Saccharomyces cerevisiae S288C: one gene and its partners. The protein of the gene in region 4 purifies or fractionates together with the protein of the main gene of each other region. This does not show direct contact. Each region holds a gene or a part of one and is shown on either strand. Other genes may lie near its edges.

What was found.
Region 1: the proteins of NAS2 (region 4) and RPN5 purify together in Saccharomyces cerevisiae (affinity purification with mass spectrometry; 2 studies listed by BioGRID). This does not show direct contact.
Region 2: the proteins of NAS2 (region 4) and RPN2 purify together in Saccharomyces cerevisiae (affinity purification with western blotting; 3 studies listed by BioGRID, with this or other methods). This does not show direct contact.
Region 3: the proteins of NAS2 (region 4) and RPT3 purify together in Saccharomyces cerevisiae (affinity purification with western blotting; 5 studies listed by BioGRID, with this or other methods). This does not show direct contact.

The regions. Positions count from the first base shown.
Region 1 is NC_001136.10:188,904-192,782, forward strand, and holds RPN5 (proteasome regulatory particle lid subunit RPN5), read left to right. Parts: upstream 1-2,020; coding exon 2,021-3,358; downstream 3,359-3,879. Other genes in the region: snoRNA-binding rRNA-processing protein NOP14, read right to left, coding at 1-1,683; LDB17 (Ldb17p), read left to right, coding at 3,847-3,879. UniProt on the Saccharomyces cerevisiae protein: Acts as a regulatory subunit of the 26S proteasome which is involved in the ATP-dependent degradation of ubiquitinated proteins.
Region 2 is NC_001141.2:217,363-222,706, reverse strand, and holds RPN2 (proteasome regulatory particle base subunit RPN2), read left to right. Parts: upstream 1-2,006; coding exon 2,007-4,844; downstream 4,845-5,344. Other genes in the region: phosphoglycerate dehydrogenase SER33, read left to right, coding at 217-1,626; SEC28 (coatomer subunit epsilon), read right to left, coding at 5,159-5,344. UniProt on the Saccharomyces cerevisiae protein: Acts as a regulatory subunit of the 26S proteasome which is involved in the ATP-dependent degradation of ubiquitinated proteins.
Region 3 is NC_001136.10:1,259,957-1,263,534, forward strand, and holds RPT3 (proteasome regulatory particle base subunit RPT3), read left to right. Parts: upstream 1-1,724; coding exon 1,725-3,011; downstream 3,012-3,578. Other genes in the region: SHE9 (She9p), read left to right, coding at 1-1,315; SXM1 (Sxm1p), read left to right, coding at 3,368-3,578. UniProt on the Saccharomyces cerevisiae protein: The 26S proteasome is involved in the ATP-dependent degradation of ubiquitinated proteins. The regulatory (or ATPase) complex confers ATP dependency and substrate specificity to the 26S complex.
Region 4 is NC_001141.2:342,485-345,298, reverse strand, and holds NAS2 (Nas2p), read left to right. Parts: upstream 1-1,642; coding exon 1,643-2,305; downstream 2,306-2,814. Other genes in the region: YIA6 (NAD+ transporter), read right to left, coding at 116-1,237; ubiquitin-related modifier URM1, read right to left, coding at 2,464-2,763. UniProt on the Saccharomyces cerevisiae protein: Acts as a chaperone during the assembly of the 26S proteasome, specifically of the base subcomplex of the 19S regulatory complex (RC).

The DNA of each region.
Region 1 (3,879 bases), on a different chromosome or scaffold from region 4:
TATGTACCGTTTGGAAATGCGTTGATATTGTGAAACAATCCTTACCAAGACAGCGCCAAAAGCTATCCTCTTTAAAGAATTAAACTTGATTTGTTCCAGGAACTGGCTCATTAAAATCAATGCTGGAGTTATTACTAAATGGTACTGGTCCGAGGTGGAGAAAAGAATACCAATAATGGAAAAAAATACCAGATCACCATTTGATAGAGCATCAAAATGGTTCTTTTTATAGCGTGCTTGCATTTCATTGATATAATCTCTACACTCCTCGGAAAGCTCTCTATTATATTTCTCTGAAAGGGATTTTAGAATTGAGATCAATGCATTTTGTGTACGTTTAAAACTTTGAACGTTTTTAAGGTAGTTTTGATTGCTTAGAAAAATGATGTGTCTCAGTAAAACAGCGGTGAATTTTCCTAACTTTTCCTTATTACCTTCAGCCAATTTTGGTTGGTAAGCTTTGATAATATTCTTAACAATCTTAGGATGATCATCTAAGTCTAATTTTTTTACTTGATCTAATAACGCATCATGAGTTCTAGGGCATGAAATGGAAATGTTCTTTTTCTTTAAAATTTGAGAAAACCCTTCATCTCTGCCTTGATCTTCAAATTTGATATCATCATCAGAATCAGCAATACCGTCATTATCGTCTTCATAGTCTTCTTCATTTTCCCAGAATCCATCATCCAAATCCTCTACTCCTCTTTCTTCGCCTTCTTCTAATTCAATCATACCGTTCATACGATCAAGACGCTGTTGTTCCAACTCCCGTTTTTTTTCTTCAGCTTCAGCGTTTTTCTCCTCTTCAGTTTTAGTTCTATCAGAGGGTGCAGCTCTTTTGTCCAATTGTAGTTCTTTCACTTTGATATCATACTCCTTATCTAGATCGGTCTTAGGTTCCATTGGATTCTTCTTGGGTTGCGTCATCATCAATTCAGACATAACATCCTCGAAATTATCATCCAGATTATCTATTTGATCTTCCATTATACCTTGAGCCTTTTGTCTTTCTTGTTTGTAAAATTTTGATTTGGCAATGACCTCTTTCATGACTTCAGCTTTGGTTTTTTTTCTTTGAGGTTGCTGTAGCTCAGCATCATCTTCATTGAATCGTTTGGAAGCTAAAAAATCCTCTTCATCATTGGCAAGCTCATCTTCTAGGGACAGCGATTGACCTAAATGTGTAAGACCGTCTCCAAACATGTCACCGTCGTCTTCATCGTCTTCAAGATTGAATAAATTTGCGTTTCTCTTTGATTGGCTTTGTCTTTCTCTGGTGAAACGTTCCAACATTTTTTCTTCTTCCGTCAACAACTTGTCTCTTTCACCAAATCTCTTATCGATCACACCACCACGTTTATTCTTCATCATTTTTCTTGCTTCAAATGCACGCTTTCTTTGTTCTTCACCGATCTGTTTAGAGATACCAGGCTTACCCACAGCAATACGATCAGCAGTTTTAGAAGGCAGACCATCTCTCCTCTTATTCCTTGCAGCCTTTATTTCAAACGGATTAAACTCTTCTCTGATTTCAGCAATGGCCTTTTTTTTTTCTTCACGATCATACTCCTTCGCTTGTCTTTTGGAATTCTTTTTATTCTTACTTTTGACGTTTGTTTGACCTGTGAGTCCACGGGCCTTCAAGGCGGCCTTTAAATTCTTAAGTTGTGAACCGGCCATGTATTTGATCTTCCCTTTTATTTGCTTCTCAACTGTACTATTTACAGTAATAATTAGTGCAACCTTCAGATGCTTCTCGCTAAATGCTCATCTCTAAATTATCATTATTATTCCTAATAAATCCTAAAATTTTTCACTCGTTCTGTACGGCTCATCGCCCCAATATTACCCGTCTTGTATGTGATCTTTTTGACTTTTCGGTGGCAAAATGCAAAGGGGAATCCAAGGAAAAACCATAACAGGACACTACATCAGAGATAATCTTGAATTAAGAGAGTAGAGGAATATACTGCTGGGCTCACTACCATTTTTGTTGCTAGAGTAAACGTAGAGAAAGATGTCAAGAGATGCACCAATTAAGGCTGACAAGGATTATAGCCAAATTTTGAAGGAAGAGTTTCCTAAGATCGATTCGCTCGCTCAAAATGATTGTAACTCTGCTTTAGACCAACTGTTAGTGTTGGAGAAGAAAACCAGACAAGCTTCAGATCTGGCCTCCTCGAAAGAAGTTTTGGCCAAGATTGTAGATCTGCTAGCATCAAGGAATAAGTGGGACGACCTAAATGAGCAATTGACTCTACTCTCAAAAAAGCATGGTCAGTTGAAATTGTCAATTCAGTATATGATACAAAAGGTTATGGAATATTTGAAAAGCTCGAAATCTTTGGATTTAAACACCAGAATTAGTGTCATTGAAACTATCAGGGTGGTTACAGAGAACAAAATATTTGTAGAAGTGGAAAGAGCTAGGGTCACCAAAGATTTGGTGGAAATTAAGAAAGAAGAGGGTAAGATTGATGAAGCTGCAGACATCTTGTGTGAGTTACAGGTTGAGACCTATGGCTCCATGGAAATGTCTGAGAAAATTCAGTTTATATTAGAGCAAATGGAATTGAGTATATTAAAAGGTGATTATTCCCAAGCCACGGTGCTTTCAAGAAAAATTCTGAAAAAAACTTTTAAAAATCCAAAATACGAGTCATTGAAGCTAGAATATTATAATCTTCTGGTAAAAATTAGTTTGCACAAGAGAGAATACCTAGAAGTTGCGCAGTATCTGCAAGAAATTTATCAAACAGACGCCATTAAATCAGATGAGGCTAAGTGGAAACCTGTTTTATCGCACATTGTATATTTCTTAGTCCTTTCACCTTACGGCAATTTACAAAATGATTTAATTCACAAAATCCAGAATGATAACAACCTGAAAAAATTAGAAAGCCAAGAATCTTTAGTAAAATTGTTTACTACGAATGAGTTGATGAGATGGCCAATTGTTCAAAAAACCTATGAGCCCGTCTTAAATGAGGATGATTTGGCATTTGGTGGAGAAGCTAATAAGCATCACTGGGAAGATTTACAAAAAAGGGTCATCGAGCACAATTTAAGAGTCATTTCCGAATACTATTCCAGAATTACTTTACTAAGATTGAATGAATTGCTGGACCTAACGGAGAGCCAGACGGAAACATACATCAGTGATTTGGTAAACCAGGGCATCATATACGCTAAAGTTAATCGCCCAGCCAAAATCGTGAATTTTGAAAAACCAAAAAACTCAAGCCAATTATTGAACGAATGGTCACATAATGTTGACGAACTATTAGAACATATAGAAACAATAGGCCATTTAATTACAAAAGAGGAAATCATGCACGGTTTGCAAGCTAAATGAAGAGATTTTCGAGTAAGTGTCGGATTATCTCAGATCCGGTTTTGATTTTAAATCTGTTACTAATCGAAATGTGTATTTACGTACGTGAGATAAAATTATCTATGCATATATATAACTCAAATGGAAAATGGCCACGTATTGCTCTCATTCTCTTCACTTGCTTACACAAAACATAAGGTGACAATTAATGGAATTTTAGTTTTTCAATTTTTCAGGGGAAAGAAGACACCCAAAAAAAAAGTGAAAAGTCAAAACGGTAAACTGTTTATGGTATTTAAATGACATTAATAGCAGCGTAAAGAGTCATTTTTTCGTTTGATTAGCAAAACTCTGAACATTAATTACTACACCTATAGACATATCTTTAAACAGTGAAATATTTTTTTCATTTAGTAAACAAGAATTAAACTTTGAATATTTTTTTTTCGATTAACTTATGTCACTTTAGCCTATACTTTCTTCGAACATTTTTCCTTTCATTTTGACTCATGATATTAGATCCATTATCTCCAAATATTGAA
Region 2 (5,344 bases), 130 kb from region 4:
ATTTGGCCGTCAGCCGGACAGCGCTCAGATTAATTGTGGGCTAGATTCTTCACGCTGGAAACGAGTCACCGTTATGAAAACTAATGGAATCTCCCAGGTTTAATACATAAGAAGGTTACGAGCTACTACATTAAAAAATACTTTGTCTGTTTTAGCTGTAGATTATTGTAACATTAAAAAGTAACAAACACTGATTTCGGGTATTTCCTCCCTAACATGTCTTATTCAGCTGCCGATAATTTACAAGATTCATTCCAACGTGCCATGAACTTTTCTGGCTCTCCTGGTGCAGTCTCAACCTCACCAACTCAGTCATTTATGAACACACTACCTCGTCGTGTAAGCATTACAAAGCAACCAAAGGCTTTAAAACCTTTTTCTACTGGTGACATGAATATTCTACTGTTGGAAAATGTCAATGCAACTGCAATCAAAATCTTCAAGGATCAGGGTTACCAAGTAGAGTTCCACAAGTCTTCTCTACCTGAGGATGAATTGATTGAAAAAATCAAAGACGTACACGCTATCGGTATAAGATCCAAAACTAGATTGACTGAAAAAATACTACAGCATGCCAGGAATCTAGTTTGTATTGGTTGTTTTTGCATAGGTACCAATCAAGTAGACCTAAAATATGCCGCTAGTAAAGGTATTGCTGTTTTCAATTCGCCATTCTCCAATTCAAGATCCGTAGCAGAATTGGTAATTGGTGAGATCATTAGTTTAGCAAGACAATTAGGTGATAGATCCATTGAACTGCATACAGGTACATGGAATAAAGTCGCTGCTAGGTGTTGGGAAGTAAGAGGAAAAACTCTCGGTATTATTGGGTATGGTCACATTGGTTCGCAATTATCAGTTCTTGCAGAAGCTATGGGCCTGCATGTGCTATACTATGATATCGTGACAATTATGGCCTTAGGTACTGCCAGACAAGTTTCTACATTAGATGAATTGTTGAATAAATCTGATTTTGTAACACTACATGTACCAGCTACTCCAGAAACTGAAAAAATGTTATCTGCTCCACAATTCGCTGCTATGAAGGACGGGGCTTATGTTATTAATGCCTCAAGAGGTACTGTCGTGGACATTCCATCTCTGATCCAAGCCGTCAAGGCCAACAAAATTGCAGGTGCTGCTTTAGATGTTTATCCACATGAACCAGCTAAGAACGGTGAAGGTTCATTTAACGATGAACTTAACAGCTGGACTTCTGAGTTGGTTTCATTACCAAATATAATCCTGACACCACATATTGGTGGCTCTACAGAAGAAGCTCAAAGTTCAATCGGTATTGAGGTGGCTACTGCATTGTCCAAATACATCAATGAAGGTAACTCTGTCGGTTCTGTGAACTTCCCAGAAGTCAGTTTGAAGTCTTTGGACTACGATCAAGAGAACACAGTACGTGTCTTGTATATTCATCGTAACGTTCCTGGTGTTTTGAAGACCGTTAATGATATCTTATCCGATCATAATATCGAGAAACAGTTTTCTGATTCTCACGGCGAGATCGCTTATCTAATGGCAGACATCTCTTCTGTTAATCAAAGTGAAATCAAGGATATATATGAAAAGTTGAACCAAACTTCTGCCAAAGTTTCCATCAGGTTATTATACTAATTACTCAGATAAATAAAAATATATGTATAGATTTAAAATCCTCCCCTATCTTCATAGTATGTAAGATATGTTGAAACGGAATCGAGTAAAAAAATAGCCTTTGATTGCCCATTAAACTCCACAAAGTGCTGTCTCACGATTCATGGACGATAATCTGTCGAGCTTTTTCGATCTGCCTCTTATTGCCATTATTTCGAGGGTTTAGTGCGGGTAATAGCATATTGCTTTTCAATAGGAGAAGGGCGCATTTCATTTATTTTCGGTGGCAAAACTGGATACATAAAAGTATAATGCTTTGAATCCAAGGGAAAAAAAATTGTGGAACTCTATCCAGTAAAAGACCACCCAGAATAGATTGAGTTCAAATATAACCGGAAAAGATGTCTTTGACGACTGCTGCTCCTCTTTTAGCATTGTTGAGAGAGAATCAAGATTCTGTTAAAACATATGCCCTAGAATCTATAAATAATGTTGTGGACCAATTATGGTCTGAGATCTCGAATGAACTGCCGGATATTGAGGCATTGTATGATGACGATACCTTTTCAGACCGTGAAATGGCTGCTTTGATTGCATCCAAAGTTTATTACAATCTTGGTGAATACGAATCGGCTGTGAAGTATGCACTTGCCGCAAAGGATCGTTTTGATATAGACGAAAAGTCACAATTTGTTGAAACTATAGTCTCAAAGAGTATTGAGATGTACGTCCAAGAGGCTTCCAAGCAATACACTAAGGACGAACAATTTTACACCAAGGATATTATTGACCCAAAATTAACCTCTATTTTTGAGCGAATGATAGAAAAATGTTTGAAAGCTTCAGAATTAAAATTAGCTTTAGGAATTGCCTTAGAAGGTTACAGATTGGATATCATTGAAAGTGCTTTAAAGAGCAAATTGGATCAGGATTCCACTTCTGAAAACGTTAAAATTATTAACTACTTATTGACCTTAGCTATAACTACTGTGACAAATTCCAAGTTCAGATCCTCGATATTGAGAAAATCATTTGATTTCCTAATGAATATGCCTAACTGCGATTACTTAACGCTCAATAAAGTAGTTGTAAATTTGAATGACGCCGGATTGGCACTTCAGCTATTTAAAAAATTAAAGGAAGAGAACGATGAAGGATTATCTGCTCAAATTGCATTTGATTTGGTTTCGTCTGCGTCTCAGCAGTTGCTTGAGATTTTAGTAACCGAACTAACTGCCCAGGGTTACGATCCTGCCTTATTGAATATTCTATCTGGGCTACCGACTTGTGATTATTACAATACCTTCCTTTTGAATAATAAAAACATTGACATCGGTCTTTTAAACAAGTCTAAATCATCTTTGGATGGGAAATTTTCTTTGTTCCACACCGCAGTCAGCGTTGCCAACGGTTTTATGCACGCTGGTACTACCGACAATTCATTTATCAAGGCGAACTTGCCATGGTTAGGTAAGGCTCAAAATTGGGCTAAATTTACAGCTACAGCCTCTTTAGGTGTAATTCATAAAGGCAATTTATTGGAGGGTAAAAAAGTCATGGCCCCTTACTTGCCAGGCAGTCGAGCTTCTTCTAGGTTTATCAAAGGTGGTTCATTGTATGGTTTGGGTTTAATTTATGCTGGCTTTGGTCGTGATACAACTGACTATCTGAAAAACATAATAGTTGAGAATAGCGGAACTTCAGGCGATGAAGACGTAGATGTATTGTTACATGGTGCTTCACTGGGTATCGGTCTTGCTGCTATGGGTTCTGCTAATATTGAAGTTTATGAAGCCTTAAAGGAAGTTCTGTACAACGATTCTGCCACATCTGGAGAAGCAGCTGCATTAGGTATGGGTCTCTGTATGCTCGGAACAGGTAAGCCTGAAGCGATTCACGATATGTTTACATATTCCCAAGAAACGCAGCATGGCAATATTACTCGTGGTCTAGCCGTTGGTTTAGCACTGATAAATTACGGCCGTCAAGAGTTAGCTGATGATTTAATTACTAAGATGTTAGCAAGTGATGAGTCCTTGTTACGCTATGGAGGTGCATTCACAATCGCGTTAGCGTATGCGGGTACGGGAAATAATTCAGCTGTCAAGAGATTACTGCATGTGGCAGTCTCGGATTCTAACGATGATGTCAGAAGGGCAGCAGTCATCGCATTAGGGTTTGTTCTCTTGCGTGATTATACCACTGTACCAAGGATTGTCCAACTTCTATCTAAATCGCATAACGCTCATGTCAGATGTGGTACCGCATTTGCTCTTGGGATTGCTTGTGCCGGCAAGGGTTTACAATCAGCTATTGACGTTTTAGATCCGCTAACAAAGGACCCAGTAGATTTTGTTCGTCAGGCTGCCATGATAGCTTTATCCATGATTTTGATTCAACAAACAGAAAAACTAAACCCTCAAGTTGCTGATATTAACAAAAATTTTTTGAGCGTGATTACAAACAAACACCAAGAAGGTTTAGCCAAATTCGGTGCATGTGTGGCCCAAGGTATAATGAATGCCGGTGGGCGTAATGTTACAATTCAGCTGGAAAATGCGGATACAGGCACATTGGATACCAAGTCCGTAGTTGGTTTGGTCATGTTCTCACAATTCTGGTACTGGTTCCCACTGGCTCACTTTTTATCCCTTTCTTTTACACCAACAACTGTCATTGGTATTCGTGGTAGCGATCAAGCTATACCCAAATTTCAAATGAATTGTTACGCTAAAGAAGATGCATTCAGTTATCCGAGGATGTATGAGGAAGCAAGTGGTAAGGAGGTAGAGAAGGTAGCAACAGCTGTTCTTTCCACGACAGCAAGAGCAAAAGCAAGGGCAAAGAAGACAAAGAAGGAAAAGGGTCCAAATGAGGAAGAAAAGAAAAAAGAGCATGAGGAAAAAGAAAAGGAAAGAGAGACGAATAAAAAAGGCATAAAAGAAACAAAAGAAAACGACGAAGAATTTTACAAAAATAAGTACTCTTCTAAACCTTATAAAGTCGACAATATGACCCGTATACTACCACAACAATCGAGATATATTTCCTTTATTAAGGACGACAGATTTGTTCCTGTACGTAAATTCAAAGGAAATAACGGTGTGGTGGTTTTAAGAGATAGGGAACCCAAGGAACCTGTAGCACTAATTGAAACTGTTAGGCAAATGAAAGATGTTAACGCTCCACTTCCAACCCCATTTAAGGTCGATGATAATGTCGACTTCCCTAGTGCTTAGATCAAGGGTGCATGGTCGTACAGAAAATGAAGAATTAGTTCAAAATGCCAGAAAATAAATAATAGTGTACATACTTTTAAAAAAAAATCATTGAATTATTCTGCCAGGATTAGCTACTTTACGCATAATTCTAACGTGACAAATGTTGTTTCCGCTTTGTTAATTATACTTTATATGATTTTGTTCAAGCCATGTCAACCTCATTTATGGTACCATCTTATTCGGCTTTATCAAAATAGTATATAGGCATATACATGAAATATTTTTTTCTTTTTCTAAAAAACCTACATGTTTAATGTGAGATATTACGTAAATCAGTTGGACGTATCATATTTCCTCACTAATTCATCGAATTTTGCGTCAATTTCTTGGTGATGCTTGATGAATGCATGTTCGTGATCCAATTTAACCAATTGATTTGTTAAATCTTCAGTATCAAGACCTTGCATAAGAGCAAGCGTAATTTGGTTTGCTAAGAAAGTAGGTTTGTACAATACGGC
Region 3 (3,578 bases), on a different chromosome or scaffold from region 4:
ATTAATGTTGAGGGCGTCATCTTTCACCAGGCCATTTCATTATAGTTCATATTCTCTACAGAACGGTGATACTCCTGATAAAGGCAGCACTAATAAAAATGAAATACGGACACCTAATAACGCTGTTTGGAAAGAAAATATAGAACTTCAATGGCAGCACTTGAAAAAGAAATTAAATGAATTGTATTCTAGGTTTAACTTCCACCGAGATCAATTATCCTTTCAAGTTAACAAGGCCAAAAAATCAATTCAAGAGGCAAACAGGAAGTTGTCTGAGCAAGAGAATGAAATCAACGATTCCCGTTTAAACTATAATAAAGATGAATTGACCAGTGCGAAAATTGAAGGATTGCCCTCCGAAAGGGAACAACATAGAAAAAAATGGTCTAGAAAGTTAGAGTTTTATTTTGACTCATTACAGGAGACGTTATTTACTGCCACACGTGCTTTAAATGATGTGACCGGTTATTCTGGAATTCAAAAGCTCAAATCTAGCATCAGTCTAATGGAAAAAAAATTAGAAGCTACAAAGAAAGAACACAAACTGTTTAAGGCACAGTACGCTAACGCCATTGATGAACGTGCTCAATCCCAAAGAGAAGTTAACGAATTATTGCAAAGGCAAAGCGCGTGGTCTTCGAGCGATTTAGAGAGATTTACGCAGCTATACAAAAATGACGCCTTGAATGCTAGACAGGAGCAAGAACTAAAAAACAAGGTTAAAGAAATTGAAAGCAAAGAAGAACAACTAAATGACGACTTGTATAGAGCAATTTTGACCAGGTACCATGAGGAACAAATATGGTCAGACAAAATCCGAAGAACATCCACCTGGGGTACATTCATCTTAATGGGTATGAATATATTCTTGTTTATTGTCCTACAATTACTATTAGAACCTTGGAAACGGAAAAGGTTAGTAGGATCGTTTGAAGACAAAGTCAAAAGCGCTCTCAACGAATATGCCAAGGAGCAGAATATGAAGATGGATAAATTGTTACCTGGAAAATCATCGGAAGTAACAGACCAAGGCAACACAGAAAACTCGATCGTTGAAGAGCACATAGAACAGAGAGGTGAATGTAAAATTAATACGGCGGAAATCGACAGGCCTGAAGTTGCAACGGCTGAGACCACTACAACAGAAATGAAATCCTTCAGAGATATTTGGGAACGAATAAAGGCACTTTTTGTCACACTAAAAAGCATACAATATAGGAAACTTGACGCTCCCCTAGTCTTTGACACCTTAGAGTTCTACTTATACTCAATTTCTTTAGTGAGTATGACAATCTTGGTATCCGGGCTGATATGACATGATATACTGCGCAAGAATATCGTTAAAAAAACACGCATGCATTTTTTTCATCCTTTATCCTTGTACATAATAAAATCATAAATACACAGTAAATAGCACGTTTTGGTTTCAATATCCTTAACCTTACCTAGCTAATGTTTAGCTGGTGTAATCCATTATAATCAAAATTTCTCTAATGTTTGGCTCTTCGTAGCGCGCGATGTGCCCTTTCATATTTTTCCTGAAAGTAAGGTGGCAAAATAGTAAATCTGCAGTAATTGGGTATAGCCATGAATATAGGAAGTAATAGGGCTCAGATTCTCAGTGTGTGGACAAACCAATTCTGCCTATTTCCTTTCACTCATAAGTTATACAAGAGGCAATCGGATAAAATTCAAGTATTTATAAAGTAAAAACCACAACAAGAATGGAGGAACTAGGTATTGTGACACCTGTCGAAAAGGCAGTCGAAGAAAAACCAGCCGTCAAATCATACGCATCATTGTTGGCTCAACTCAATGGTACAGTCAACAATAACAGTGCCCTGTCTAATGTGAATTCTGATATATATTTCAAATTGAAGAAATTAGAAAAAGAGTATGAACTGCTGACTTTGCAAGAAGACTATATTAAGGACGAACAACGCCATTTGAAACGTGAATTGAAGAGAGCTCAAGAAGAAGTAAAGAGAATCCAGTCGGTTCCATTAGTTATCGGGCAATTCTTAGAACCTATTGATCAGAACACAGGTATTGTTTCTAGTACCACAGGTATGAGTTATGTCGTTAGAATATTATCAACCCTAGACCGTGAACTATTAAAGCCATCTATGTCTGTAGCTTTACATCGTCATTCAAATGCTTTAGTTGACATCCTACCACCTGATTCCGACTCTAGCATATCCGTAATGGGCGAAAACGAAAAACCTGACGTCACTTATGCAGATGTTGGTGGGTTAGATATGCAAAAGCAAGAAATCAGGGAAGCCGTAGAGCTGCCATTAGTTCAGGCTGATCTATACGAGCAAATCGGTATTGACCCTCCTAGGGGTGTTCTATTATATGGTCCACCAGGTACCGGTAAGACGATGCTTGTTAAAGCCGTCGCCAATAGTACAAAAGCTGCATTCATAAGAGTTAATGGCTCCGAATTTGTTCACAAATATCTTGGTGAAGGTCCAAGAATGGTTCGTGACGTCTTTAGACTCGCCAGGGAAAATGCTCCATCCATTATATTCATAGATGAGGTAGATTCCATTGCCACAAAGCGTTTTGATGCTCAAACGGGTTCCGATCGTGAAGTACAGCGTATCCTGATTGAGTTGTTGACACAAATGGATGGTTTCGATCAATCCACCAACGTTAAAGTCATCATGGCTACAAACAGGGCAGACACATTGGACCCAGCTTTGCTGAGACCAGGCAGATTAGATAGAAAGATTGAGTTTCCCTCACTTCGTGATAGGCGTGAACGTCGTTTGATTTTCGGTACCATTGCCAGTAAGATGTCCCTTGCCCCAGAAGCGGACTTAGACTCGCTTATTATTCGTAACGACTCTCTATCAGGTGCTGTTATTGCAGCGATCATGCAGGAAGCTGGTTTAAGAGCAGTGAGGAAAAACAGATATGTCATCTTACAAAGCGATCTGGAAGAAGCTTACGCCACTCAAGTCAAGACAGATAATACCGTCGATAAATTCGACTTCTACAAATGATTACCATATATGCTTCAACGTAGGTCTACATAAAGTATTACGTACATTTCTATCTAGACAACACTAAATGAAATAAATACAGACGCCACTTTTTTATCACGTTTCTTAGCGTTATTCCGCGCGCAACCGGACGTCGCTAGCCAAGTTTTTCACTTTTTTTTTTCTGTGATATTTTTTTTTCCAAATGAGATGGTAAGATGAGTACCTATCAACAAGTATCTCAATCAATAAAGTACAACCAAAATATCAAGTACGCAGTCTCTGCTTCATCCCAGTGTAGATTTGCTATTCGATTTGTGTCATAAACATTTAACATTGCGCCCGTCTACAACAAAGGAGATAAATCAAAAAAGGAAATGGTACAAGAACAGGCAATTTTGAGCTGCATTGAGCAGACTATGGTTGCTGATGCAAAAATTATCAAAGAGGCAGAACAGCAGTTATTTGAGTTCCAGAAGCAACCTGGGTTTACTTCTTTTCTGCTTAATATAGTGTCTGATGATAATTTTGCGCTAAATGTTCGTCTTTCTTCTGCTATTTATTTGAAGAATAAGATTCACAGATCAT
Region 4 (2,814 bases):
TTAGGAAAAGAGAGGCTTACCTTATTTGGTATATTTACAAGCTGTAATACCTAAAATATTAGCGCAGGCATATTCATAGCACACTCAATGTGTGGCGTGTGTGAATTTTAAGGCTTTAAATTACCATAGTGCTAATATTTTCTAGGCGGTTTCTGAAATACTCAAAGGACACTAGAGTGATTGCCGAGGCCGGAATGGTTCGTACTAGGTTAGTAGTAAATCCAGAATAAAATCCCTTTAGTCCCTCTTGTGCATAAGTTGCTTTAATGAGGGGGAACAGACGTCGTTGAATGGAATCTGGTATATCTGATTTCAGTTGCATTCTGGTTCGTAAAATTTCGTGCGGATATGTTACTGCTGATGCAATCATCTTAGAGACGGACGATGCCATGATCAACCGTTGCAAGTTGATGGAGTTGGTGTTGTTCTCCCGAGAATAGCAGTGAAATCTTACCTTCAAATCTTCGTATATAGGGAAATGGATAGCCACATGAAATAGCCCTAATAATGAGGGGACCAGCCCCGCATATAATGCTTTAAACCCTTCCTGATAAAATAGCTTTCTGAATGCATCGAAAGTGCCTTTGTAATGTGTGGGGTGCTCACCGAGGTTTGATTGCAGCATAAGTCTTGTCTTCACAACCCAGATTGGGTTGGTCAAGGTGGTAGATGCAGCGCCTGCCGTGATTGCAGCACATGACTGAGCAACAAAATCAAACTGTGGGAAGATGCCGTGAAAGAACTTTTTGCTGAATTCATACACGGAGAAGTATATCATCCAGGTTGGGAAGTAGCCCAGGACAATCGGTACCAGCCCTTTGTAGAGGCCCCGCGGGCCTTCGTCTCTTACTATAGTACTTAATGTCCCCATTATCCCCCTATAGTAGGGGTTCTCGAACCTAGTTTGTAGTCCTTGTGCTTGCAATCGCGTTTTGGCAACATCGAGGGGACATACTGCCACACCTGATAAGAATCCAGCAAATGCGCCGGAAAGAGCTGTGATCTGAGTTGAGGATAGTGGTACCCATTTCTTTCGCAGCGTTGTCCCTATAATTGACTCAGTACTGCTGTTCATCTTGATGGGCTCGATGATATCTGCTGAGGACAGTTGGGAGGAATGATCAGGGAATATCAATTGTTCTTCATGCAACAACAGTGGCTCTTCATGGTCTGCAGAGCAATACTGCTGCTCGGGCAGTAAACCGCAGTTGGGGACAGGATTATCAGTCTGTGTCATTGTGCTAAAGACTGCTGCCTTCAGTGTTGATCTCACTACTATTACGGTTGGCAGTCTGTAGTAGAGATTCTTTTCAGAATTCGATTAAGCACTAGGCCGGTGGGTAACCCCTAGAAATTGGTGCTATTGGACCATATTATGAGAGTCATTTAAAGGGCCCTTCGGGCTGGCTCACATAAAGGTTGGGATCTATGACCTTTATCAATACGGATCTTACTACTGGCTATTCATTAATTCTCGAAATTTGCTGTCCCTTGCGTGCGCCGTGGATTGTGTTCGATAAGGCTTACTTTATAACGGTTGGAATATTGGATAATAAAGGGAAAAAAAATGTTCAGCATTGAGAGATAGAAAAGTTATCACCAGAGTAAAAAGGAGCAAGAATTAGAATAAGAACGAACTACAATGGAGGAAGAAGAATTAAGTAAATTGTTGGCCAATGTTAAGATAGATCCGAGCCTAACATCAAGAATTAGTCAAATAGACAGCTTCAAACTGTCGGAATTGATGGTTCTAAAGACAGATATTGAGACACAACTAGAGGCGTATTTCAGTGTGCTTGAGCAGCAAGGCATCGGCATGGACTCTGCGTTGGTGACGCCAGACGGGTATCCTCGTTCGGATGTCGATGTATTGCAAGTCACTATGATCAGAAAGAATGTTAATATGCTGAAGAATGATTTAAATCACCTTTTGCAAAGATCACACGTCTTACTAAACCAGCACTTTGATAATATGAACGTTAAGTCAAACCAAGATGCAAGAAGGAATAACGACGATCAAGCTATTCAGTATACCATCCCTTTTGCATTTATCAGTGAGGTAGTACCCGGTAGCCCTTCAGATAAAGCAGACATAAAGGTTGATGATAAGCTGATTTCTATTGGTAATGTGCATGCGGCAAACCACTCTAAACTTCAAAACATTCAGATGGTTGTAATGAAAAATGAAGACAGGCCACTTCCCGTCCTTCTCTTGAGAGAAGGGCAAATCCTAAAGACATCGCTAACACCTTCGAGAAACTGGAATGGTAGAGGTCTTTTGGGTTGTAGGATACAAGAGCTATAATCTTCGTCATGTACTAAAAAAAACCAATCCAGTTATTACTATTACTTTTTATACTATCTGCATATTACCTACGTTATCTAACTTGTGATTCATTCAAGCTGTACAGCACTTTATATATATATATGTAGCTGCTTCTTAAAAATTATTTGCTGCTATTTTTAACCACCATGTAATGTTGAAGTAAAAGAGATGATGTCACCGTCTTCCAATATGTAGTCTTTTTCGCCTTCGAGCTCCCAATCGGTGTCGTTGATTAATGTGATGATACCGGGTCTTATAGAATCATCTTCGATGAAGATACTAACGTCATTAGGGTTATTGATCATAGTAGATACAATGTGGTCAATCAAATCGCCCACTGTGACAGGATCTTCTTTGTCCATCTTAATTTTATGTACTCTTTGTTTTCCAAAAATAGCATCAAGTCCACCTAGAAACTCCACTTTCACGTTTACCATCCCGATTTTGCTATTAACCTATCTCGTTTTAGTATCAGAAATCAGTATTGT